Linked DNA regions of Drosophila melanogaster. Changing the gene in region 1 together with any one later gene gives a genetic interaction. Each region holds a gene or a part of one and is shown in the gene's direction. Other genes may lie near its edges. The genes, in order: Galphai, ct, meru and insc.

Evidence for each region.
Region 2: of Galphai (region 1) and ct, changing one suppresses a phenotype caused by changing the other (phenotypic suppression), as found in Drosophila melanogaster (one study listed by BioGRID).
Region 3: of Galphai (region 1) and meru, changing one enhances a phenotype caused by changing the other (phenotypic enhancement), as found in Drosophila melanogaster (one study listed by BioGRID).
Region 4: of Galphai (region 1) and insc, changing one enhances a phenotype caused by changing the other (phenotypic enhancement), as found in Drosophila melanogaster (one study listed by BioGRID).

What each region holds. Positions count from the first base shown.
Region 1 is NT_037436.4:6,974,006-6,981,606, reverse strand, and holds the start of Galphai (G protein alpha subunit i), read left to right. Parts: upstream 1-1,562; 5' UTR 1,563-1,968; coding exon 1,969-2,089; intron 2,090-2,384; exon of another isoform or gene 2,385-3,960; intron 3,961-4,127; exon of another isoform or gene 4,128-4,438; intron 4,439-4,600; exon of another isoform or gene 4,601-5,285; intron 5,286-7,133; coding exon 7,134-7,601. UniProt on the Drosophila melanogaster protein: Guanine nucleotide-binding proteins (G proteins) are involved as modulators or transducers in various transmembrane signaling systems.
Region 2 is NC_004354.4:7,607,438-7,612,165, forward strand, and holds the start of ct (cut), read left to right. Parts: upstream 1-1,710; 5' UTR 1,711-1,978; coding exon 1,979-2,101; intron 2,102-4,728. UniProt on the Drosophila melanogaster protein: Regulator of cell fate decisions in multiple lineages. Specifically, functions as a determination factor that specifies sensory organ identity in precursor cells. Probably also involved in cell type specification of Malpighian tubules.
Region 3 is NT_037436.4:15,838,035-15,845,959, reverse strand, and holds the start of meru (meru), read left to right. Parts: upstream 1-1,897; 5' UTR 1,898-2,416; intron 2,417-2,464; exon of another isoform or gene 2,465-2,554; intron 2,555-4,830; 5' UTR 4,831-4,874; coding exon 4,875-5,228; intron 5,229-5,963; coding exon 5,964-6,123; intron 6,124-6,305; coding exon 6,306-6,451; intron 6,452-7,207; coding exon 7,208-7,925.
Region 4 is NT_033778.4:20,833,015-20,837,916, reverse strand, and holds the start of insc (inscuteable), read left to right. Parts: upstream 1-1,888; 5' UTR 1,889-2,247; intron 2,248-4,902.

The sequences.
Region 1 (7,601 bases):
ACAACAACAACAAGAGCAGCAATGTGGCAGCGTGCGCCGCATTTGCAGGCAGTAAGTGCGACAGAGATGGAATGAGAGCGACCACCCACAGTGCAGCATCACTGTATTTCTCTCTCGCTCGCACGCGCAGCGAAAACCGCATAAATCCATATTTCTCTAGCTTGTGCTTTTTACGATAAATTACAGAGGTTGCAGGGTGTTCGGTAGCGCACAAATGATCATTCATTCACAAGACAGCAGATACCCCCGCATGCCCCCTAATTCCTCACCGTCCCTCTCCCCGCCACTCCTACGCCCCTCTGCAAATGCCGCACTTTTCGTGTAAACATGTGTAAATCATGACCCGTTGATGGCCTTTATATTCATGGTAGAGCAAGAGGAGGGGTGGTGGATGTAGGGGGGTGGGGGTGTTTCTTGAGGAGGGGAGGGGGATGGTGGCCACATGTGACGTCCTCCGGCGGCGGCAAAACTTTTGCACTGCGACCCCATCCTCATCCTCATTCTCATTCTCATCTTTATCCGCATCCTCGTCTTCCTGCCTTCGCATCGCTTTGTTTAGATAAATTAGCTGCGGAAAGACCAGCCCCCCCCCCCCCCCCCCGTCACGTTCCATACCACAAAATTCACAAAATAGTTTCTTTTAATATCATCGATTTGGAAAAAAACAGAGGAGCTTCTATAAGTGGAATTATGCTAATGAAATTTTGAAATATTAATATTATTGCATTAATAAAGTTATTATTAATTATATGATCATTGCATATGCATGATTCTCTAAAAATAAGTTTAAAAAAAATGAAATTAAATATTACTAAAAATATAAGCTCAATAAAATATAAGCTCAGTTTAAATAAAAAGATTAACAGTGCAAACGAAAGTAATTTCTTTAGTTCTCATATGTTTTGTTATTTAAGAATTGACGTATTTATGTTATTTTTTAAAAAGTTCTGTTCTTCGAATTGACTTTAAATGATTCTAAATATTGTCAGTTTGTTAGAAAGGAGCTCCACTGTACCTGCGTCGCATGCAACTGCAGACATTTGGGATTCAAATCGAGAATGGAATGGAATTGTCCCAAAATAAAGGCAAATATTATTTATGCCAGGGCCCTGAGAACTTTTTCTCCAACGGCCTGCGTGCACATTGCATTGGTGTTGATGAGGGGGGAGTGGCGGGGCATGCATTTCAGAACAACATCATATTTTCGGCTATGTTTATTTACACTTAAAGCGCTATAACAACAAACTGAAATGCAAAGGGCAAGTTGGGCATAATGCATGTATGGCTCACGACTGAACAGCGGAAACAGGATCATATGAGTGGCATTCAAGCATAAAGTTTACAAAGTTGCGATAATTAAAATGCGTGTATATCAATTAAATTAATTTGAAATTTACCGCCCAAAAGTGACGTCACAGTTGCCTACAAGAAGATGCTAGCCAAGTCACACACCCCGCGAGTACTGCCAGACTGCAGCTAGCAGAGTACCACACCCGGCAGCGTTGCCACACAAACGATCGTGTGCAATGCACTAACGCCAGTGAGCAAGCGATCTGTGAACTTCGGCAAACAGTCACACCAATCCGACGCGAAGTGAATCATATTGCGCACAGCAAAATCAGCGGATAAGCAAATTAAAGCGACAAAAGAATATTAAATCGGCTCTGCCGCTGCAGCAAGAAGCGTGAAAACAGCAATGCAATCGGGCTAATCTCCAAAAAAAACCCAAAAACGTTTCAAGCCAGTGTGTGTGCGTGTGTTTGTGTGTGTGTGCTTGCGTGCGCTGCGCATGTGTGGTGTGTTTGTGTGAAAAGGAAGAGAGGTGGAAACGCACACAAAAAACGAAAAGAAAAAAAGTGTACAGCCGACGACGCGCAGACGCATCTCGAAATTGTTGGAAAAATCGCGTGTGAGAAGAGTGCGCGAAGTGAGAAAGGAGCAACAAATCGCTAAAGACATATTTCGAAGATGGGTTGTGCCGTGAGTACAGCACGCGATAAGGAGGCCATCGAGCGGTCGAAGAACATCGATCGCGCCCTGCGGGCGGAGGGCGAGCGGGCCGCCTCGGAGGTGAAACTGCTGCTGCTGGGTGCGTTCGCCTTCCATTTCACCTTTTCACCTCTCTAGCATTATTCCGGTATTTCCCCCCTTTGCGAATTCTTTGCTGAAATTCGCGTTGTGACCTCATTTTTTTTTCCATTCGCTCGCTTTGCTTGGGCGGGGTGGGTATCCGCTGGGTGCCGTTGCTTTGCGCTTTCGGCTGTGGTGAGTTGGGGCAAGGATTTTTGCCGGCTTTTCCAGTGCGAAAGGGTCTGGAAAAGGCTGGAAGGCATGGGATGAAACAATACAGTAGAGTTACAGTATAACGAATTAGTAAGACTAAAATTAGAAAAATGTAATTTATTTGTTTTTAAGATCACTCGTTATTATAAGACCATGTTATTCTAGCTAACAGTTTAACATAAAAGTCTAAAGTCCCCAACTATCCCATATTTCGACTATAAATATGCATGGAATGGAGTAAGTAGACTCCATGCAGCTCTGTTTATCTGGGAAAACCAATGTTTATGTGGCTGCTTGGGGCTAAACAAATCCGTCTGTTCGTAGATCGTGCATTATGCAATGTCTGTGTCCAATAATTCGTTGGCGATAAGGGAATTGAACGTAAATTGAAACCAAATGTCGGTTTGACTGTGCGGATACACTCGATTCTAGATTCTCGGTACTCAGTGCTCGTTTCTCATCTGCTGGCACGCACTTTTCAGATCTTTTGGATCGATGCAACAAGTGGATCGAATCGGATCCCATTGCCGCAATGGAAACATGTTTGTTGATAGCGCAGCGGTTTCCACTTTGCAGGAAAAACCATTCAAGCGACGAGGCGCCATCGTATCGCATATACAAACATACATGCATACATACATACATACATATATGATGTATGTATGGTTTTTGGTGACCCGACCTCTGCGGCAAATGCAGTGAAACTGAATGCCTCGCTGCGTTGCAACCTTCTGCAATTAAATTTCCACTCGCCGATTTATATGCACGGCATATGGGAACGATGATATATTTCACCGTCTGCGTGTGTACTTTTCATTTCATTGCCATTCATTTGCGAAAAACAATGCCGTGGAAGTTTTCCTCCAGCGCGGCTGATTGGCCAATGAATCGGGCCAAGATGACTAAGGCAACGAGTGGTAGGCTGGAAAGTACAGCAAAGACTGGCTATGCAACCTACACCTTTATTAAGTGAACTGATATATAGGGTTTACTGTACTAAATTAATTCATAATGTCAAATGTTATCATTTCAAAAGGATTTTTCTAAAAAAAAAAATGATGCACATTAGTAAATGATTTTTTTGGAACCTAGAACATAGTGTAGTTTTCATTTACACTGTAAAACATTTATCGAGCTTATCAGCAGCCACCGCACCTTGCACTATATTTGTTTGTGAGTAACCACTGTATTTGCAGGCTTAAAGATAATAAGGAAAACTGTTTGCCTCAATGAAAAACCTCGTAAACCGGTTTGGAAAATGCCCGCTAAAAGGTGCAGGAAAATTCTACCATTTTCATCCCCATTAAAAGATATCCCCTATTATCATTCAGTATCCCAGCTGTTTTCGTCCAAACCCCCGGTTGACCAGTGTAAATGCTTCTGGTTTACATAGCCAAGAAAACAGCTTGCACCAGTTGCATTTTGAAATTTAGCCCAACATTTTACACTTGATTCAATTGTTTGCACCTTGTGGGGCGTGTGTTCTGTAATTTCTGGATCATGATGAAAACCGATCTCTGATCTCCGATCTCCGAGCTGCTGCAGCTTTCCTCCGACTTCCAGCTGAGTAATTGGCTGTTTTTGTTGCTGCTTCGTTGTTTGTTCGCTGACATTTCAAGTGGGGTGAACGATATTAGCGCAAATAAATGGGCCCGCCATCAAATGCAACTGTCGCGGCTACACGGAAAGAAAAAGAAGAATGTACTAGTTTGCTAAAAAAAATATCTTTAAAAAATATAGTTTTCAAATTATGCAGTAAAGACATTGCTTATAATTTAGTATAAATATATATATTATTCATTGAATTTATTGGTAATTTCTACCAGTGTACAGCGACTACTTACTTGAATTGGAATCGGAATTGGCAGCCCCCAACGCTGCGCTTATTGAGTAGATTTAATAAAGCTGCTCAGCTGACACTCAATTTATATTACACTCTGCTGCCTCTCCCCTTTTCCTTACCCCCCCCCCTTTCCGCAAGCCTTTCAATTGAAAAGCACAACTTTTTCAACCGTTTTTCAACCAAACATATTGTGCTTAAGGGCAAAGATAGTGAATTACTGCATTATTTTGATGATATTTGCAAGGAAAGAGCAGCAAACCGAAGAGAGAAAACGAATTCCAATGGGGGGGGCATGAGTAAGAACTCGGATATCTGTAAAAAAAAAAAAAAAAAAAAAAATATGAAAAAAATGGGAAGAAAATAATATATAAACAAAATAGTGTCATGCTGCTGGCGCACCAATATCAAAATCGGCACTCAGACTGTCAACACACAGCAACTTAATAATCTACAATTATTTAAGAACTCGCTTACCAACACATTTAAACTGAAAGTATCATTGGGCTTATCAAAATTATCGCCAAGCGAGCGACCTTATACATATGTACGTCAATATACTATATGTGGTTAAATAATTGATGTACATATGTATGTACATCACATATAGGAAATTTCATGATAATCGAGAGATCTGCGTGAAAGTCACTACTAGGTGGGGGGCTTCCGTTTTGGGGCCGCATTTCATCTGATTTAATTGTTTACTTTTTCGGTGGGTCCGCTCAATTTCACACTCCCCGCTGATTAACACATTTCCCACTTCGATAACTGAGGCCAGGCGCCATTTAACTTGATTACTCATGGCGCAAACACTTTCTTACGATTCTCCTCCTCTTGCTGTCTACAGCTATTGTTCTTTCTTCTCCCCTCTTTTTTAAATCATCGCATGGCGTAGCCTTAGTCACCCTGTTTCCAATGAATATTCTAATTTCGATAAGTAATTATCTAACGAATTGGTTGGTGCAGTAAAAACTGCATGTCTTCCTTAAATTTCCTATCTAGCTAAATAGTGATTTTTTAATCATTTATGACAAATTGAACAAATATTTGAATGTTGTTTACAATTTCAAATTCTAATAAATATAATAAAAAGTTTTTTTAGCAACTTCTAACAACTATAAAATATATCAATAGAAGCTAGAATTCCTGCATTCCCCGCCGATTCTTTTTTCGCCGATATTCACTGTTTAATGATGTTAATTATAATACCGTTTGGTTGTGGCCATCGCGATGATAATGAGCTTGTAAACGCGGCTTTGTGCGTATCGCCGTTGTTCTGAGCCCGTCTCGCTCCAGCCCTATTGTTGGCCTCTCGCTCGCACCCGCAGTCGGCCGGGCGCGTGTTATGGCACAGCTAACGGTGCATTGATAAATGAAGGCCCAGCCACACCAACACACACGCACACACTCTTTCGCATTTTGTTAGTAGTGTTATTATTAAATTGACCTTTTTCCAGCCGCTCATTTGTGGATTGCTTTGTTCGCTACTTTTTTCCACACGGTGGCAAGTTTGAACATCGCCTTATGTCCATATTCGTATTCAAATCTGTCAATTTCATCATTATGCGGCGACCGTTGTTTGCCCATTATCAGCATTCAGCAGGCGTCTCTTTCGCTCCAACACTTTTTGGTGGCAAAATTAGTTAGCATTGTTCGGAATTGGTTAAAATTGAAGTCTTAACAATAACTCAAAAAAATTTATAAAACAAATTTAATGTAATATATATTGACAGTGAATGTAACAGTGGCCATTTAGTGTAATATATATTAACAGTAGGTGTAACAGTGGCCAGCACATTACAATTAGAGTGGACCCTATTCTAACACATTATGGTACCTAAAACTATAGGCTGAATTTCTTAATCTTCATAAATGTACGTAACATATGTATTAAACTTACCAATCTTCATTGAATGAGCACCATCCGCCCCAAGGGAACTTCAACCATGGCTGATTGATATACGTACGAATAGTAAAAACAATTAAAGTTTCAGTGCAAGTATCGAAGCCCTGAAAGTTGAGAAAAGTGAAAGTAAAGTCGCAGTTTTGGCTTTGGCAATTACCTAATCATCCGGTGGCTGGGAATGGACCCAACTACCAACTGCAGCAAAAAGTCGGCTTAATGCGCCATTGTTGCAATGCCCCAACATCGTGTATATATGTTTATATATAGCTATAGATATTCGAAATTACTTGGACCGGCAGATTTGCCAATTTTTGTATTTGCCCATTTGCTCTGCGATTTCAACTTCTTTAGTTTTCAGCGAAAAGGGAAACTGGCGAGCACGTAATGCGATTATGTTTCATATTTTTTTTTTTATCATTCGACGCAGCAGATAATATACATAGTACTACATATATAATAAACTGCCCAGACGAGCCCGTGTGTTTGTTGTTTATCAACGCTGACGGGTCAGGTCTCATTTAACAATTGAAGGCACTCGGCGAATAAAATTATGCCCAGTTAATTTTCTCCGCAATTTCCAACGCCTTTGATAACTAATGGGTGGGTGGTTCAACGAACTCCAGGGCTCGGCCATGCAAGTTAATAAATTATAATAAATTACAGAGTAGTACGCTTAGAAAATGCATATATCTATTTGGATTATCTTTAGCATGATGATGTGCATATAACTTGATCTGTTATCACAATATTATTGACCCTTATTTGGTGTTCATTTGATTCGTATTGAAATCCGACATGCTATATTAAATGACCATATACACGATGTTCATTCATTTCTCAACTAGACCAGCGCAATTAAGCGTGACCTCTTGAGTCGCGCAATTGAGCAACTTTTCTCGATCGTCTCATTCATAAATTCCACTTCCGTTCCCCTTGGCAAACTTAAAAGCCCCTTCCCGAAACCGAACTCATCGATTCATTCATTCAGTTTTACGCCCTGAACTTGGTGCATACAAATATTGAGCTCACACTTCCTTGGAATGATTCTTTATAAACTTTGATAGTACACCTTAACTAATAAACTCTGTTGAATTTCTTTTGTAGGAGCCGGAGAGTCGGGCAAGTCAACGATTGTGAAACAGATGAAGATCATCCATGACACGGGCTACTCGCAGGAGGAATGCGAGGAGTATCGTCGCGTCGTCTTCAGCAACACGGTGCAGAGTCTAATGGTGATCATCCGCGCAATGGGACGCCTGAAGATCGAGTTTGCCGATCCGAGCCGAACGGACATTGCCCGCCAGTTCTTCACACACGCCTCTGCCGCCGACGAGGGCATCCTGCTGCCCGAGATCGTGCTCCTGATGAAGAAACTCTGGGCAGACGGTGGCGTACAGCAGAGCTTCGCCCGATCGCGCGAATATCAGTTGAATGACTCGGCGGGATACTATCTAAATTCGCTGGATAGGATCGCGCAACCGAACTACATACCCACGCAGCAGGATGTGCTACGCACGCGGGTGAAGACCACTGGCATCATCGAGACACACTTCTCCTGCAAGCAGCTGCACT
Region 2 (4,728 bases), on another chromosome or scaffold:
TATGCGAAAATCCCGCAACGGGACTGCAAATTCCAGGGGTTTGCGGAAAAACACAAAATAACGGGAGGCTGAGAAGGGGCTTACTCTCCAATTTAATATTCCATGGATTTTTGAAGAGCCGAACAGAGACAGCCAGCCAAGGGACTTAAGTTAGGAATGCAATTTAAGGTGCATCATAAAGTGGCGGAAATTTGGAAAGGACAGATTGTTTCTAAATGTTACATTTACCTCTAAAAAAAAACATAAAAATTAAATTAAACAACAAAACATAGAATTGTTTGTTGCATTTAGCTTAATTTACACTTCGTATTTACTTTTTTATTTCCATCACTTTCTACTATTGTTTACTATGTTCGAACATTTGATGAATATAGCAGCTGCTTTTAATTCTAAGACTTATCTCGTGGAACTTTTAGTTCTTTAGTTCTTAACTTTAAAACTTATCAGTTTCAGAATAATACTTGAATTCCAGGTAAATCCCCCTAAAGCCAAAAAATATTACAACTTTCCGAAATATCCTCAATCTCAATCCCTCCGCCAGCGTCACAGTCGACGTTGCACTCAATCCTGCGCTCAATAAGCAACAACAACAAGCAGTAGTGGAGAGAGGCGAGCGCCTGGCTCTTTCGTTTCCAATAAGAAAAGCGATGTGCGAGCGGGAGGGCACTAGCCAAAGTGTCTGTGAATGAATGAATTTCAATACATGCAACTGACATGCGACGGCGCAGAAAAATGCTCAAAAATAAGAGTAAAAAAAAAAGCCGAGAAGGAAAGCGCAAAAAAAGTGAGAAAATCAAAAAGCTATTGAAAGAAATCAAAAGCAGTGCACGGGAATTGAGTGAGATTCTCTTGCGCGGAGCGTGAGAGAGCGAGCGAGAGAGTTGCGCTGCATGAGTGTGTTGTGTGTTTGTGGCGCCTCTGTCGCTGCCAACGCCGCTGTCGGCGCTCTCTGCGGCAGAGGGTTGTCGGCGCTTCGTTAACGTTCGATTTGTTCAGTCATCAACAGCATTCGTGACTGGCAACGTCGTTTCGTTCGTCCGTCGCCGAAAGAAATCGAGAATTTCAGAAGATTTTTGGATTCTACTGCCCCACAAGGCAGTGCAGCTTCTTCTTCTTAGCCGCGGCGCGGGTGTGTGTGCGTGTGTGCCCCTCTCTCTCACTGTGTGTGTACGTCGTGTGTGTGTGTGTGCAGAAGAATCCCCCCACCCACTTCATACAAAAAATTCATAAAAAAATAATTGCAAAAGAATGAATCTCGCTTGCCAAGAAGAAGAAACGTATTGATCATATTTATAAACAAAACAGCACACAGCCAAACAAATCAAAAAGGACTAAACGAACGTATAATATAACTGTTTATTATTTTTTTCAAGTGCATTTTTGTTCGCTAAAATATGTGCGCGTGTATGAGTGTCAAGTGTAAACAACAACAGCAACATCAAAAGCAACAACAGCGACAGCAAACATGTGCAAAATAAGCCACAGCCAAAAAGCAACAACATAATGATAATGGCTTGAAAAAATCACACACACAACAACAACAGGCAACAACCAAAACAACAACATCATACCCTCACCATTCAACAAACGACTACAACAAAATCCCCCACACAACAACAAGAAGAAACCCCCTTCCAAAAAAATCAAAAAAAATTCTTTTTCGGAACTAAAGTGAACAAAATATAAAACATAACATAACCATAATAATAATAATAATAACACACAGAAATTGGCTTATTTATGCATTTTTTTGAGCACGTAACAAGAAACATACTACTTAAGGTGTAAATGTGATGACTAAAAACGAAAACCGAATTAAATAACAACTAACTAACAAGTAAAATCGAAACGACAACAGAACAGAATAATGCCAGGCCTTATTAGCCCCAAATTGGTAGAATCCAAAAACTGAAAACCCCAAAAAAACCTAAGCAAAAACTGACTGAGAATTATTGAATTAACCCAAGAAAGCCCACGAATGCAGCCAACATTGCCACAAGCCGCTGGGACAGCCGATATGGATCTGACGGCTGTTCAATCAATCAACGATTGGTTTTTCAAAAAGGAGCAAATTTATTTATTGGCACAGTTTTGGCAACAGGTAAGAAAAGTTAGCAAAACGATGGAAAACGGTGCTTAAAAGCAAGAAGTTTCGTGTTTCAAGAATAATAATATGAATATAGTTCAATGAATTGGCCAAACAAGCTGAGATTACGGGTTCGTAAAATGTTCGGTGCAAAAGTGTTTTATCTTCTGTTCTCACTTTTATTCGCATTGACAAACAGTCTTACGTTTATATTACATGCAAGGTGTATCTTATTTTTGTCAACAAAAAGATGAAATTACACCTGTTATATGTAGCATAAAATTTGATACTTGCGTTTTCTAACTTTATATGAATGAAATGAATTCGATTCATACAGTATTGTGTATTCAAAGTGAAAAGTTTAGGGAGCGTAACGCGAAAAGCCCGAAAGCCTTTAAAACGTTATAAGCTAAAATTAGAACTTTCCATACATTGATTAGACTAAAAAGTCATATACAAATTTGCAATTATCATTGTAACTAAACAGTGAATAGTTCCCGAGTTCTGTGATATTCGTTGCATTTCACTGGAAACTCCCACAGCTGACAACAATAACCCTAGTGCGCCCAGCCGCCCACTTTAACCCCACACAGCCCCCATATTTTGGCCCCGCAAACTGCTTAACTTAACTTAAGTTAACTAATTGAGTTTGCGTGTCTATGGCAAATGTGTTTTTATTGTTGCTGGCCCGTTATTGTTGTCTAATTTCTTGTTGTAAATTTATTTATTTTTTCTGCTATTATTGATTTCTGAAAAAAAATTTGTTTGCACAAAACAAAAACAACAAATGCAAAGTGCAACAAGCAAGTAATAAGTGAACAGTTTATTGCTTGAATAACTTTTTTTTTTTTTGAAGCGTTTTTTTTTCTGTTTTCTACTACCAGTGAACCGAAAAAGATAAAGCCAGACAAGATCGGCCAGACGGAAGAGACAATTCAGATGGGGGTTTCGCTGTAAAAGGGGGCGTGGAAAATCGGGAGGCGGGGGCCAGACGATGCTGAGAATTTCGCTGGCCAAATGCCAGACTCCGAACAAATAAGGCGGCAAAATAACATTAGAGGCCAAAAAGGGGAAAAGAAAATCATCTGCCAGACCAGACATGGAAATATCAACTGCTGTATATATTTTTGAATATTTCTATATATAAAAATACTCTCTATATGGTTTGGCAAGTTAATTAGGTTGCGTCGACAGCCGGGCAAATTTTTTAATTGGAGTTTCTTCTTCGATTGATCGTGAAAAGCGAGAGACGCGCACAGTGAAAGACAGACATGGAAAAATTCCCGGAAAATCTAGACATTTGCCGTCGGTGAATGGCGTTTTTTCCCGCTCCACAAATATTTTTGTACAAGATATGGCGATGCAAACTGCAATCAATAAAACTTAAATAAGCAAAACCAAAAGCTATCCTATCGACTTTTTCCGGAGAACCACAACAAAGGCAAAAAGATGAGAAGCCGCAGAACTCGTTAGGATTACTTGAAGTCAGTGGTGTACACAGGATTTTATGAATGGGGCTTTGCTGATCTCAAATAGAACCGGTTTTTATTTAATTAAATGCATTTGCTTGTTATATTTAAATGTTAGATATGTACATAGTGATAGAGCATAGTGTTGGCGGCCTAAACGAAAACACAAAACCCCATCTAAAGGCGCCACTGTTTTGGGTTCTTTTTTCCTCTTTCCTAACGATCATTTAATGGCTTTCAAAAGCTTCAAGTCTTCTATAACTTTCAAGATCCCTCAACCAATGATCGATTGTGATCAATGAATCAATATTTGAAAGGTTTCGTCATGCCTTCGCATGCTGATCAACAAAACAAAATTAGAACTCGATCCATAAATACCATTTCTCTGCGGCAGAAAAAAAGGTTATTCAACATAACTAAATTTGCCAACCAAAAATAGAAGCTTATTAAATAAATTAAACAAACCGCAGACAGACGTCTACAGCTGTCCAAATGAGTTGATAAAACAATTTTTATAGTATTTCACTTATTTATTTATTTACATTTCAAGAACAGAGCGCGCGCGAAAAAATTGACACAAATCGAATTCGAAAAAGCAACAATAAAAATGTGCTTGATTAACACAAAGTTTTGTCATTAAATATATAGAACGGTGGCACCGAAAAAACGATCACAAAAAATTGAAAAAAAAAACAAGTGCAAGAACAAAAAGCAGAAGCCAAAGAAGAACCAAAAGTTAAAAAGAGCAAAATTAATTTCCGTAATGCAATCTATAAACTTGACCCATTAACATCGAACAGATTTTTTGTTTAGCTTCTACAATTACCGAAATCCGAAAAACCATAAACCGAAAACTAGATGAAAGATGAGGTTTTTGTCATTGATTTGTGCTGATTCAAACTAGAAAAAAAAAAGATGGAAATGGAAAGACAACAAAACCGAACTAATTGCCAAATGCATTTGCTGACTTAAAAAATATTAAAAAAAAAAAAATAGAAAAGTTGAATTGAAAAGATGAGAGTAAATCGAGTTTGGGTTCCGTTTTAATCGAATTGAAACCGGTTTATAGGGTAGTCACCACCACCATAGCACCATCACAGATGCAGATACGGATATAAAATACGAAATGCGGAATACCGGGGACGAGCATTGATAGTTTATAAAGTTTAATTT
Region 3 (7,925 bases), 8.9 Mb from region 1:
TTTGGGCCTAACCACTCCACCCCTAACCAACCCCATTCGAATGCAATTGCCTGAGCATTACGAAGCAAAGTTGTAGTGACTTGCAAGGTGGGGCAATTTGTCATATTACACAGATAAGTTGGCACCTGCCATCAACTTCGCTAGAGGTGGTATAATTTCAGCTTGTATTCAATCGATTCCTAATGAGCTTGAACATTATTGAATATTTGTATTGCCCAATCCTAATGAGTCGAATGGAAATTATTGGGTGGCTAAGCAAAGCAGTTGGAACCAAGGTAAATATACACCAAGTTCATTCGAAGATCGATCGGATTGAGTGTAATGCATTTCGAAGAAATATTGTGTCTCGCAATTTGTATGGATTTTGACTTATGAAGACCTCTATTTTCATTGACATTATAATCTTAACTCATAACTAAGTAATTCAATTATAAATATTATGCAGTTCTTTCATTTGCCAAAGGGTAACATATATATCATTTATAATTACATTAAACCAAAGAAAAAACCGATCAAAATAATACATCTATATGAAAGTATAATCTCCAATAAAAGGATTACTTATCGAACTATTTCCACAAGCGTGGCTTTTACTTTCTCATTCATAGAGATACAAAAGCCAGTCGCTAGAACCATTAGCACTACTTCTTAGATAGCATTGGGCTAACCCCTCCCAAATTTGATTCCATATATTTTTACTCCCAGCCTAAGTTTTTTGATCCTGACCGAAAAAAGTCTGTTAGCAACAAATGTACAACGAAAGGAATACAGAAAAAAAAATTGAATCGAAAAGCAAATGCTACCCATTAACAATAAAATACACAGCGAAAAAACAGTGGGGGTGGCAAATAGGCTGGTCGAAGAGTGGGCGAAATGGATTGGGGGGGATAAAAACAAGGCAGAAATTCGTTTTTTATGTACCGCGAGTTTTTTATAGTTTGTTGTTGCTGCTGTTGTTGGTGGCACGTTATCAACAATCTCGTTTTACCAAATAACGCAAAGTGCGCGTCATGGCATTGGTGCACTGCAAAAAACATTGCTTTATTGTAATTAGCATAACCCATTCATAAAATCTATATCTATTTGAAATAATATATGTAAATAAGGGGTTTTTTTATGGTGTGTATTAAAAATATTGTCATATTTAAGCGAATGTAAATTTAAATTTAAATTATCAGAATACTAAGATGCGCATTTAATATTAAAATAAAAGTATCTGAAAGAATGCAATAGACTAAAAGCGGATTAATCACTAAAGAAAGGAAAGTTAACTTGAAGTATTTCGATAAAAACTTTTTAACAGTTCCCACAAAAAAATATATTACTGAAAATCATAGTAGGTAGGAAGTAGGAGCAGTGTTAAGATCACAATGACAGCAAATATTTTTCCCAGTGCATTTCTGGCTGGTGCTGATGGTGGTTCCTAGTGTTTCCTGGTGTTTCCTGGTGTTGGTGGTGCTGTTGGCGGGCAGCACACGCTACAGTTCGCTTATGGAACGGCTCAAACTGCATTAAAGAGCGAAGGGAGTGGTCGTGGTAGTAGTTGGTAGTGGTAGTGGTAGATGGTAATGACAGTGGTATTGGTATTGGTCCTGGCCGAAAGAGAGTAGTTCTAGAAGGCTAGGGCTAGTGGAAATTGGTAGGAACACTCCGACGTATATAGCGTATTATATTTTTTTACTCAGTTTCGGTGGTGGCTGGTGGTTGGCCAAAAGACGGTGGCAGGATGACGATGATGATGACGACAGCAGGGGCAGGGAACCTACCCTCGGATCGGGCGCTCTCTCTTTCTTTCCTGCCCCTTCCCTTCCCGCAACGCCAGGTGTGTCGGTGTGTCGGTGTGCGTTCCTGCGAGCTGCTCGCACCGTTTTTGCTTTAAAGTTTTGTGTGGTAGCAAATAAAATTTTAGTTAGTCACTTGCCGTCGTCAAGGATACGCCGTTCAGTTATTTGTTGTGCAACGTTGTTCCTGGCAACCACGAGTCCTCGGGCAGCAAGGACCTGTGCCGCTTCGGAACGAAAGGCTTTCAGTGCCAGGCTCGAATCGAGTGCTAGCGACAGGGACAGCAACATTAGCACCTGTCTAGATCTAGAAACCTTTTTATATACTCGTTTATTATCCGGCCGGTAGGCGGCAGCGCTGCCAACTGCGCAGTCAACGTCGACGTCGCTGCCTAGCTCACCTTACATAGCCGCAAATTCAAATTTGAACTTCAGTCAAGTGTCAAAGCTCAAAGGATTAGCATGTCCTTGCAGCTGCAGCTGCAGTGTGAACCAGTGAAGACCACTGAAAAATACAATCTTCAGAACCAAATTACTCACTAGCTTGCCAAAAAGTGAAGAAACACGGCCAAAAGCCGAAAAGGATCAACCTGAAAAGTGCTGACAACTGCCAGATTTGGAGAAACTATCTAAAGGTAAGCGATCTCAGGTGATCCAGCGATCCAGAGCTGTAGCTCTTCAATTTGCTGACTTTGAGTCTTGGCACTGGGAGAATTCACAGTTGACTTTATTATTCTGTGGTTCTGCGGGTGCCAAAACTTAAAAACCGGCTTTGTACAACGATTTCTAAGCCATTACAATTTGAACAAAATAAAATAAGTAGAGCGTTCTTAGGTTTATAAGGAGTATATGGATATAGATCAGTATATATCAGTATCAGATCAGTATATCTATATGTATATAGATCAGTTGTTCGAATTAACGAAAAACGTTGTAGGAAAGTAAAGCCCCAAAAAAGATCTAAAAAATGTATTAATAAAATAATAATAATATATAATAATATATAATATATATATATATATATATATATATATATTATATAATATAATACAATAATATATAATAATAATATATATATAATATATAATATATACCCCATTTAACTTGTTTTTTTTTCATTTAAGACTTCTAGGCCAATCTTAACGATTGAAAGAGTTTTCATTAAGCTTTAGAAACAACCTAAAACCCCTATATATACTATTCTTCCTATGTCCAGTAACAGATCGACTGAAATAAAAGTCAAATCTGTTTACATATTTAATTGAAAAGTAGTTTCCCTAAGCCAAAAATAATTTTTTCTTATCCAAGTTTGGACAATACATTATCAAATCACAGCCATAGCTATATTACTCATACGCCACCGGTACCAACCCCATTGAACTGCCAACGTCACGACAGCGTTGGTTCCTCTACTTTCATTTTAGAATCCAATGCGCAGTACCAAAACAAAATTAATTTCCATCCAACACGCAACGAAAAAATCGAGTAGGATTTCAGGGGAGCAATTAATTTGGGCCGGGCTAAAATTGTTAAAGACTTAAAAATACATAAAAAAAAAACAATGCCCAGAGTGAGACACAATCGCTGGCTAAACTTTAGAGACATTGAACTTTCGGGGGTCAAAAGTATTTCTCAACTTGGCCAACTGCCCTCTCATAAATGTATTATGAGGGGAGGCAGTCAAGCCCCCTCTCAAAACAATTAAGTGCAATGCAAAGGGCGTGTCAGAGTTCAGTAATTGACCTCACCAATGGAAATTTACATTTGAACTTATCTTGATTGGAAATTACATTTTTAAATGTACACTGTACATGTCCAGATGTCCAGCGTAATCAAAGGCAGCCCCCGTTCAAGGATATCTAGTGGCAGGACTATTGGCCCAGGTGGAAATCCTTTTGCAAATTGCTTCACTCATAACTCATTTCTCTAATAGAAACGGGGGCGTGGCCCATCGCTAACGGCACCTGTCCAGAGAGCAAATAAATATTTGATGAGGGAATTCTGAAAACTTCTGTAAATTCCGATTCAATTGTAGTTTTGAGCACAAATAAGCTCCTTGGGGAGCTTACCTTAGTTGTAGTTCTTTAAATAATTTTTGAAATTAAATTAATTGGTGAGCAGTTAAAATGAATTTCGGAACTTTTAATCTCGATATCATAAAAGATCTAAATACTCATTGTAATTGAATTAGTTGGAATGGAATTTGGGAACATTCATTCTAAAATTAAACAGGATAACATGATCGTATATATTTAATTTATATTTTAACCTTTTGCATTGCAAGGACTATTCTATCTCCCGTAAAAACAAAGCAATTTCAGCACTTATATTTTAGAAAATTGCTAGCCAAAAATATTTCAGCACCCTAACCGCCGTCAATCTATATAATTTGAGTTCCTTCGCTGCATTTTCCGGCGGCATAAATTAGCATTAATTCATAAGTCAGTAGTCAGGCCACCAATTGCAATCCAAAAAAAAAAAAAAAGAAAATGAAGCAGAAAGGAAAATGTTTTTCGGCTGGAAAAGCGAATTTGCATACAAACTGCAATGTTCGTACAACGCCCCCCGAACAACAAATTATGTGTGGGGGGCCCACAGGGGCCGTGAAATGGTGAATAGGGTCCTAGTAGGCCTCGTAGGATTCCGATGGCTTCACTTGGGTTTGTGGCAGTGGCGAATGGTGGATTGAATGGGGGGGGAATGGTGCGACAGCCTAAACGCCGGCAATGTTCCTGAATAATGGGCCACCGGCGCCAACTGACGTTGGTAGGCAATTTTCTAGGAATCTAGATGGGTTTGCGTCGTGTGTCTATGGTGAGGTGCAACTCTATACATATACATATGTATGTGTACTATATGTACCATATAGGTGCACATGTTGTGCGGCAAAGGGCTACTGCATAATTTATTTAATCGCGGGCAACAAATCTAAATTGATCGTTAGGCGTAGGCGAACGAACAGCCAGCTGAACCAACAAAATGTCTAACAAGGATATTGCATGTTCTCTATATGTATTAAACTATTTTTTCCACCGCTTTTCCATTGCAGTGCCAATTAGCCAGAGAGGTTTTTCAAAAGGCGGTCAAAGGAATATGGCGCCCCAACAACAGAACTCCACATTCATCGATGATAATCTGGACAGCTGTCCATCGCTATTGAATCTACCCGAAAGTCCCATTCTTCCGCCGCGACGATGTCAAAATCAAGACACCAACAATAATAATAATAATAATAAGCAGGCTGCATTCGAGGAGCGTTTGGTGGATGAATCGCCATCGGTGGGGGAGCCACCATTAGCACCACCCATACCTCTGGCCATACCCATGGCACCAGCACCACCACATCGGCAAGCATGCAAAAATAAACACGGCAGGGAAAACGGAAACGCTGGCCAGGCCAGTCGTCGCCACCGTTCCATTTCCCTCTATGGCGTTAATAGCACTGTGGTAAGTGCCTCCTCCTCCTGCTCCTGGTCCTCCGGCTCCTTTGGCCACTCACCACCCCACTCCAGTCCCCGCCCCTGATTTTCGGTTGCGCCAGCATTTCCACTGAAATAAAACAAATCATCTAATTGGGTGGGCAGTCACTGGCGGTAGTCATATGCTTATGTGGATAGGGTTATACTTACATATAAGCGTGTGTGAAACTTCGATAGTGCGTCTGTTACTCAAGAAATTGATTGCAACCTTGCGTTTTCGTAAGAATCGAAAGGAGACTTAACTTAATTCTTTAGATATTATCTAATGGTTCTGGTAATGGGCTTAGAACTCAAAAGGGAGTCGTTTATTGAACAGGATAACATTTAATGGACTTGCTTATAAATAAATAAGATAAAAATGAGATTTAACTCAATATTACCATTTAATTATATTGGCTTAGTAGGAAAATATATAGAGCTTCCACCAAAATATAATCAAATCTAAATAATTCCTTGAGCACTTTCATATCTATCCAATATAGAAAGTTAGTACAGGTAGATTTCAATACAGTTGATTGACTATTATTATGAGTATTATTCTTTAGGAGTTTACCTTAAATTTATATTACCTTACTATAAAGAAATTCTTTGAAAATTTCCCTTGCTTCTAAAACCCATACCCCATCTTACAACTCATTCCTAAAAACCTGGCAATCCTCTTAATCGATCTACATACTCCTCTGTTCTTCTGGCAACCCTTCAGGAGCAAGGCCACAAGGAAATACCCATCTGGATGGACGACGGAGAGGCTCGTTACGTATCCGGAGTGACGAACAAGACGACGTGCGATGACATAATCAAGGCGCTGATTGATGACGAACTGCGAAACGGCAATGGATTCTACTGCGGCAATAATCCGAAAGGTAGGTTAATAATAATAATTCCCAGGCGATCCTGTCGTGACTGCTACTTTTTTTTTTATACATCACAATTTGGCTTTTTATTTATTTATGCTCCTTATTTACAATTTCTTTTATTTTCTCTCATTTTGCGTTTCGTTCCGTTTCATTCAATTTTCCCGTTTTCCGCACGTTGGAAAAACAAGATGGCGGCCAGAGGAAAACGGCAGCAGCATCGCGTGACTACAGCGATTACATTATAACGGAAAGTTGGGGCGGAATAGAGCGGTGCTATGATGGCAACATGGCCATTTTGCCCGTTTGGCGCGCTTGGAGCCGTGTACACAATGAGGTAATGGCAACGGTCGGTGGACCAGGGGAATCCCACCTGGCGTGCAGAAAGAAAAGGAACAAAATAAAACAGAAACACCAGCGAACGGGGCCCGAAAGCACAAAAAAAAAAACCAAAAGTCTACAGTGATTGCATAATAAGCGCTTTTTTCCTGGCGCCACACGCAAGCCAAGAAATTCATGTCGTTCTCGAAAACCCATTCCATACGTTCTCTATATCCCCCTTTCAAAGTCACACCCGCGCCTATTATATATGTACATATGTATATATATATGTACATATATAGTACCACTCGCATTTGACTTATGCTTTGGCTTTTCGTATTTATTTGTTTATGACGCACAGAGTGAAATCAATTTGCTTATTGATTTTTATATCAAAGTTCATGTTTTCGTTTTGGTCTAATTATGTTGTAAATGTTTTATGACCCCAACCATTAGCAATGGGAATAATGTTATTCGAGGAAAAGGAACTCCTAATTGTTATTTGATGATCTTATCCAGTTAATGGATGGAAAGGGTTAAAAACAAGCGCCAAGGTAGTTTTATTGTTAGAGATGTATTAATGACAATATAATCATAAAGTGGGATATTTAGTTTTACCTTGTTTTGTATAAATAAAAAAATAGTCAATTTGTGGCGTAAATAAGAACAATATACAGTGAGGAGTAAAACATGGTCAAGAAGTCATAAACTTTTAAGTTTTTAACGAACTTCAATTCATTAATAAATAATTATTTCTCCTGTTTTTTTACAGCTCCGCATCTCCTTAAAACATCGTGATAGTTTCAGAGATCCCCTTGCCATGCAATTAGTGCCCCATTCACAATCAGCCACGGGATTTTCGATGTACAAGTGGCTCAAGAAGCTATTGCATCTGAAAAAGGGTAAAAAGACGCCACCAAAACCCACAAAAACGCCTCCAAAAGTGCCGAACAAATTAAAGGAGAAGAGAGTGCACGGCCAAAAGCAAACGATGACCAATGACTTGGTGCTGGTTATAATGCCAGACCAACTGTATAGGGGTACCGAAAACACTGCCAAATCCAAACTTTATAAACTGGCCGAGAATCGCGTCAGCAAGCAGCGTCATCGAAGAAGAAGTCGTCACGAGATAACCAAAGCCTCGGTTGAAACATTTAGAACAGCGATTCCCAGCGAATGCAATAACAACAACTACAATGTTAATAACTGCATAAGGAGGCGAAAGGATAAGCCCTTGCGAAATAGTGTACGATATAAGTTGGCATCTCTTCATGCCGATATGAATGTTCGCTATGAAAAGGAACACGCTCTAACACGTCAGCTATCGGAAATGTGCCGACTGTACCGATTGCAGAACGAACGGTACAAGGGACCGGAAATGGAGCTATCGGTCGGGCAGTTGCAACAAAATATCGAAGCCTATGCCGAGGACATTATTAAAACTGAACACGAACTTCTCGAATTGAAAAATGAAATTAAACATGATATAT
Region 4 (4,902 bases), on another chromosome or scaffold:
TTTTTAGCTGCACTCGACTCGGGGATCTGCGTTTTTGGGCTCTAGGAGCTAGGAGCTGGGATCTGGTAACTGGGAGCTGGAAAACTGGGTACTGGGTACTGGGAACTGGGACCTGGGCGCACGTCCGCACACTTGGCACATTTGTCAGGGCGACGCCGCGATGTAAACATCTTGCACGTAGGATCCGGGGTCCTTTTGCATCCTGGCTGGATGGCACGACAACTAGTTGTAGTTGGAATCGGAGTCCTCGTGCTGCACGGGGTCTTTGAACTGACAAATTACATTGACAACGAATGGGGCGAAATTCCATTCGTGTGCACTCTGAACTCCAACTCCTCTAGCTCCCCAGAACTGTCTCATTTTGTGAGGCTCCACACTGAAAAGTTTGGGGGTCAATGCCATGGCATTTCATATAAACAAAAAGTTAGGCATAACTGTCAGCAAGCAAATAAAATAAACAAATGTCAATAAATGACAATTGATTGTGCTTTTCAAAGTTTTCGGCCCAAACCATTATTAGTCAAATCAGATTGTCTATTTAGTTTACATTGTGTTAATGATTTAAAACTCTCGGTTTGGACACGATTTATTTGTATAGCCATTTGAAAATGGCATTTATTGTCATTTTTTTTTTTTATTGCTACGCGTTGTTAAAATTTCTTGAAAGGTGTCAATAGCAAACAGATGTTAAACGAGATACAGTATTGAATATTGGTTTTATTCTATGAATTTCGATCCTTCATAAGCGAAACATTGTTTTCATTTGTTAGTTTCAGTGCACTTTGTTCATTAGTTGTTTGTGGATTTAATTTGCTTACTTGGCTCTGTGCTTTTGCTTATTGTTTCAGTTAGTTTCGCAATTTGGAAACTATCTCAAATTGGCAATAGTGAAAAGAGCAAACACATCGTGGGCTCCTCTTAATTATTTTCACCGACGAACGGGTGGGCGATCGAACTCTTATGGCTGTAATAATTGGTGCAAAATTGTTCAATTGCCTAATTGCTGTCGATTGCTCATAATTTTTAGTGTAACACTGTGTATTTGTGGCACATTTTCGTTTTATGGCCACGAGCGTTCATGAATGAATGGGCTTTATTTACAGGGCATTTAAAAGTTTCGGGTAATCTTATCACCCAGAAGTGTTCAAACTTGCGCAAGTCATCAAACAAATTTCGAAACGGAAATACCAAAGGGTTGAAATAGTCTAAACGAAAAGATAACTGCCTTAAAATTGCGCCCAAAATTCGCACAAAATCGCAGTAACAATAACAAGCGAACCTAATCAAAAATCCAAAATCTCAGGCAGCTGCGCATGCGTAGCAGATGAAAGAGATAGCGAGAGATCGCACCTTTGAAAATGCTACCGGAACAGCTGGCGCAGAAGAGCGAGAGGGAAGACAGGAGTGAGTGATAAGAAATAGCAACAAAAGCGCATAAACCACCACCAACTACTACAACAACGAACGCGACAAAGCGAACAATGCTCTTCATTATGCCCGTTATTATTAAACAAATAGGGAGAGCGAAAGAGAGAAAGGTGAGAGCGCACCATGTTGATAACACACCCCGTGTAGCTAAAAGTTAGCCAGATTCACAATTAAAGGAGCTAGAAATGCTGATATATGCTCAATTTGATTTATGATCACCTATAAAAACTTGATACTGATAATAGCAGCTAATAATACTTTAATTTTCAGTACCTTAAGACACATAATTCAAAGTATGCACTCAATTAAAACATTGTATTAGATATCCTTAGCTAGAAAGTAGTCAAGCTGCCAGCACTGCCTACCTTACTCACCCAGGTAATTTGACTCCGACTCTCCGGCTTACTGCTCTCCCACCCCGGGAATTAGAAGTCTGAGTCGAAGTCGCCAACTGTAGCCGCTCATTCGATTCCCAGCAGTCGAAGCACGCAGACGCAACCGCTGCGATCGTCGCGAGATATTTGTGTTCGATCATTGTTTTCGTATCGTTCGGGTTAACCACGTTCGTTGAGTGTCGTGTCGACTTGTGTTTACCGTTGTGCAGTGTTAAACTATTTACGCTTTGTCTTGTGGGTGCAGCACCCCCACCACCCAGCCACCCACTACACATACGCACTGTCAAGTTTTGTGGTGCCCAAAAGTAATCAAATGACACGTGCTTGAAATACACATTTTACTATCCATCAGTGGCGGCCGAAACAACAACAAAAGCATAAGCCAAACTTGGGATTACCTCGGCATTGTTTATACAGGAAAGCGGTAAGTTTTGGCCACAATAAACCGTAAAGCACATTCGGAATGCTTTGACCCCAATAAGCTTAACAATAAACACAAATATTCAATACGATTCCGCATACGCCCCTCGTAATTACACATGCCTTAATTCACATAATCACAAACTACAGACATATGTATATATTTATGTACCTCCGCCCATTTATTGAAGTAAATTCCGATGGTTTTTATTTTTGCTCATTCGAGGACCTCGCTAAGCCGCGTTTTATGACTCAGGAGCCTCACAAAGTCAAAGTCGTCAGACCGCAAACTGATTTCGTTCGCTTTTCTCCGAATGTTCTTTATAACGTAGATCCCACAAATGAGTCATCCGTGCGCTTGGGGATACCGGAGTGGATACATAACTGCCTGAGATACGTATGTATCGTATAATTGGGGGAGGCAGTGGGCTAAGGTGACTGATCAGGTTGATGGGGAATGAATGAGCTGGGGGTGCTGGTGACTAAGCCCCCAGCATTGGATAACGCTAATTGGGTTGGGTAAAGAAATGTGTGCACACAGATGTGATAGTCTGCTGGCTAGGAAAGAGTCACCTCTAAGGCAGTTGTGAATGGGTTACATTGAATAACATTCCAGTCAGTCCTCAAAAATATCCAGTTATGTAGCTTGAAATAAAAAACATTTCTAAAAGAAGATTTTTAAGTTTCTTTGAATGTTTTGGTTGGTCTCTTACATTTTAATCAGCTTATGCATTTGAAGAAGTTGGCTTTCGCCACCTCGAATACTTGTTATCTCGACTCATCTGGAAACCTCAGAATATATCAGTGGCACGATTTCAATCTCACCGCATTGTGGTGTTTCGCAGATTTCCCTAATTTCAGTTTGCCCGCGCCTAATTGCAATAATCAAGGGAGCACCGCATAATCTCACTGATCTAGTTCCAGTTTAAGAGCGTTTCTGCGGTCTCGATGGCTCCATTAGAGTGCTAAACACCGGCCATTACGGCGGTCATCAGGAGAGGTGTTATTACCTGGACGTCTGGACGTGGAAACCAGTCGGCACTGGAAGTCACTCACCTGTTGCGGCCAAGAGATCGATATCATTGACAATTGGTGTCGACGGTAGCAGCAGTGGTATATAATGCCAGTTCGATATGTTGCTACCGTTAGATGGGAAATGCCAAAGCAATGATGATTGTCCATTTGAGTGGGATTAACGTTTAATTTGGCTTAGTTTATTGATTTTCCATCGAACAGGTCGGTTAAATGTCAGGGAATGTCGCGAAATGGAACATTTCGTCGATTGCATTTGCTAAACCATTTGCAACTCTTTGTTTTTTGCTCACTCATGTGTCAGTTTGACATTTTGCAACAATGGTCGATTCTATTGAACGGATTATGGCTGCCGCGACTTGAATAATTGCACGGTTTTAATGCGTTCATTCAGTTTTTTACATAATTAAATGATTGTTTAAAACTGATTTATTATTTAATTGTTTGCCACTCGAACGACAACAATTAATTATGCAATGGCGCAAAGATGCGATATAAATAAATAATAATTTCATTATAATCAATGCAACAGCTGCCAGTGGGCGCAAGTGATGCGCGGAAGGGGCGTGGCAAGCAATTAAAATTTATTACTCTTATTTTGCATTTATTCCATTTTAATTTGTCGTTTAAATGTCAAAACTATTAAAATAATTATGCTGGATGCCGGATTAATCAATGCTCTGGCCTTTGTCCAATCGATTTTGATCTGGTTGGGCCGTAACTTTTGGTTAATTAATCGGGGTTACGAGCGGGGAAATTTACCCCATCCACCCCATTCAACTTTCCCCCATTTCACCTTGTGTCCAATTTGTGCGGCTGACCCCAATGAGCCAAGTTCAGTTAACACTTAACCACCCCGCATATTAACTTAATTATCATGATTAACATTTTCTGTGTAATTTCTGTATTTTCGCTGGCCGTTCTCAGTTGAATTTTGCGATGCAATTCCCATTATTCGTACCTTTTAAACTGACCAGAACTTAAATTTGTTATTCAACACGCTTCCCTCGCTTTTTTTCTGTTTTTTTTTTTCTTGATTTGTTTATTATGAAATGCTTTCGATAACGAACCATTATCATATCTTCATGCGATATGGCAAAGAGTTCCGTTGATTTCTTTCTGTTTTCGCAGATTGAAGTGCATAAATTATTTTGTCTCTATTTTTAAATTAATTGGCAGATTGTCGCAGACTTTAGAATTCTATTTGGTCGCAAACTTGTTTGGCGACAACTCTATTAGGCATTTGCATATGAATTTCGACTGCCTTTTGTGCCTAATTAGCCGGCAAAAGTACAACGAACTTCGAAAATTGTCTTATTTTCTTAGTCACGAATTTAATGTACAATACATCAATTTCTACACTATGCAACACACCCAATTAAGTGCAATTTGTGACTTTGTGAGCCTCATTAACTCATCGCATCTCAGCTCAGCTATTTCTCCTCGTGGAAACCGGATTGTTAGCTAAACATTTTTTACATTACTTTGCCTTTGCCTACTAATGAGCAGAATTACTCATGACTGGCCCATGTAGATATAAATATCGATTGAGGGGCTGTTTTTCAATCAATTTAAACGGCGTGCCGTGGCAGGGGGAGGTGGTAATGAGACAAACGAACCACAGAAA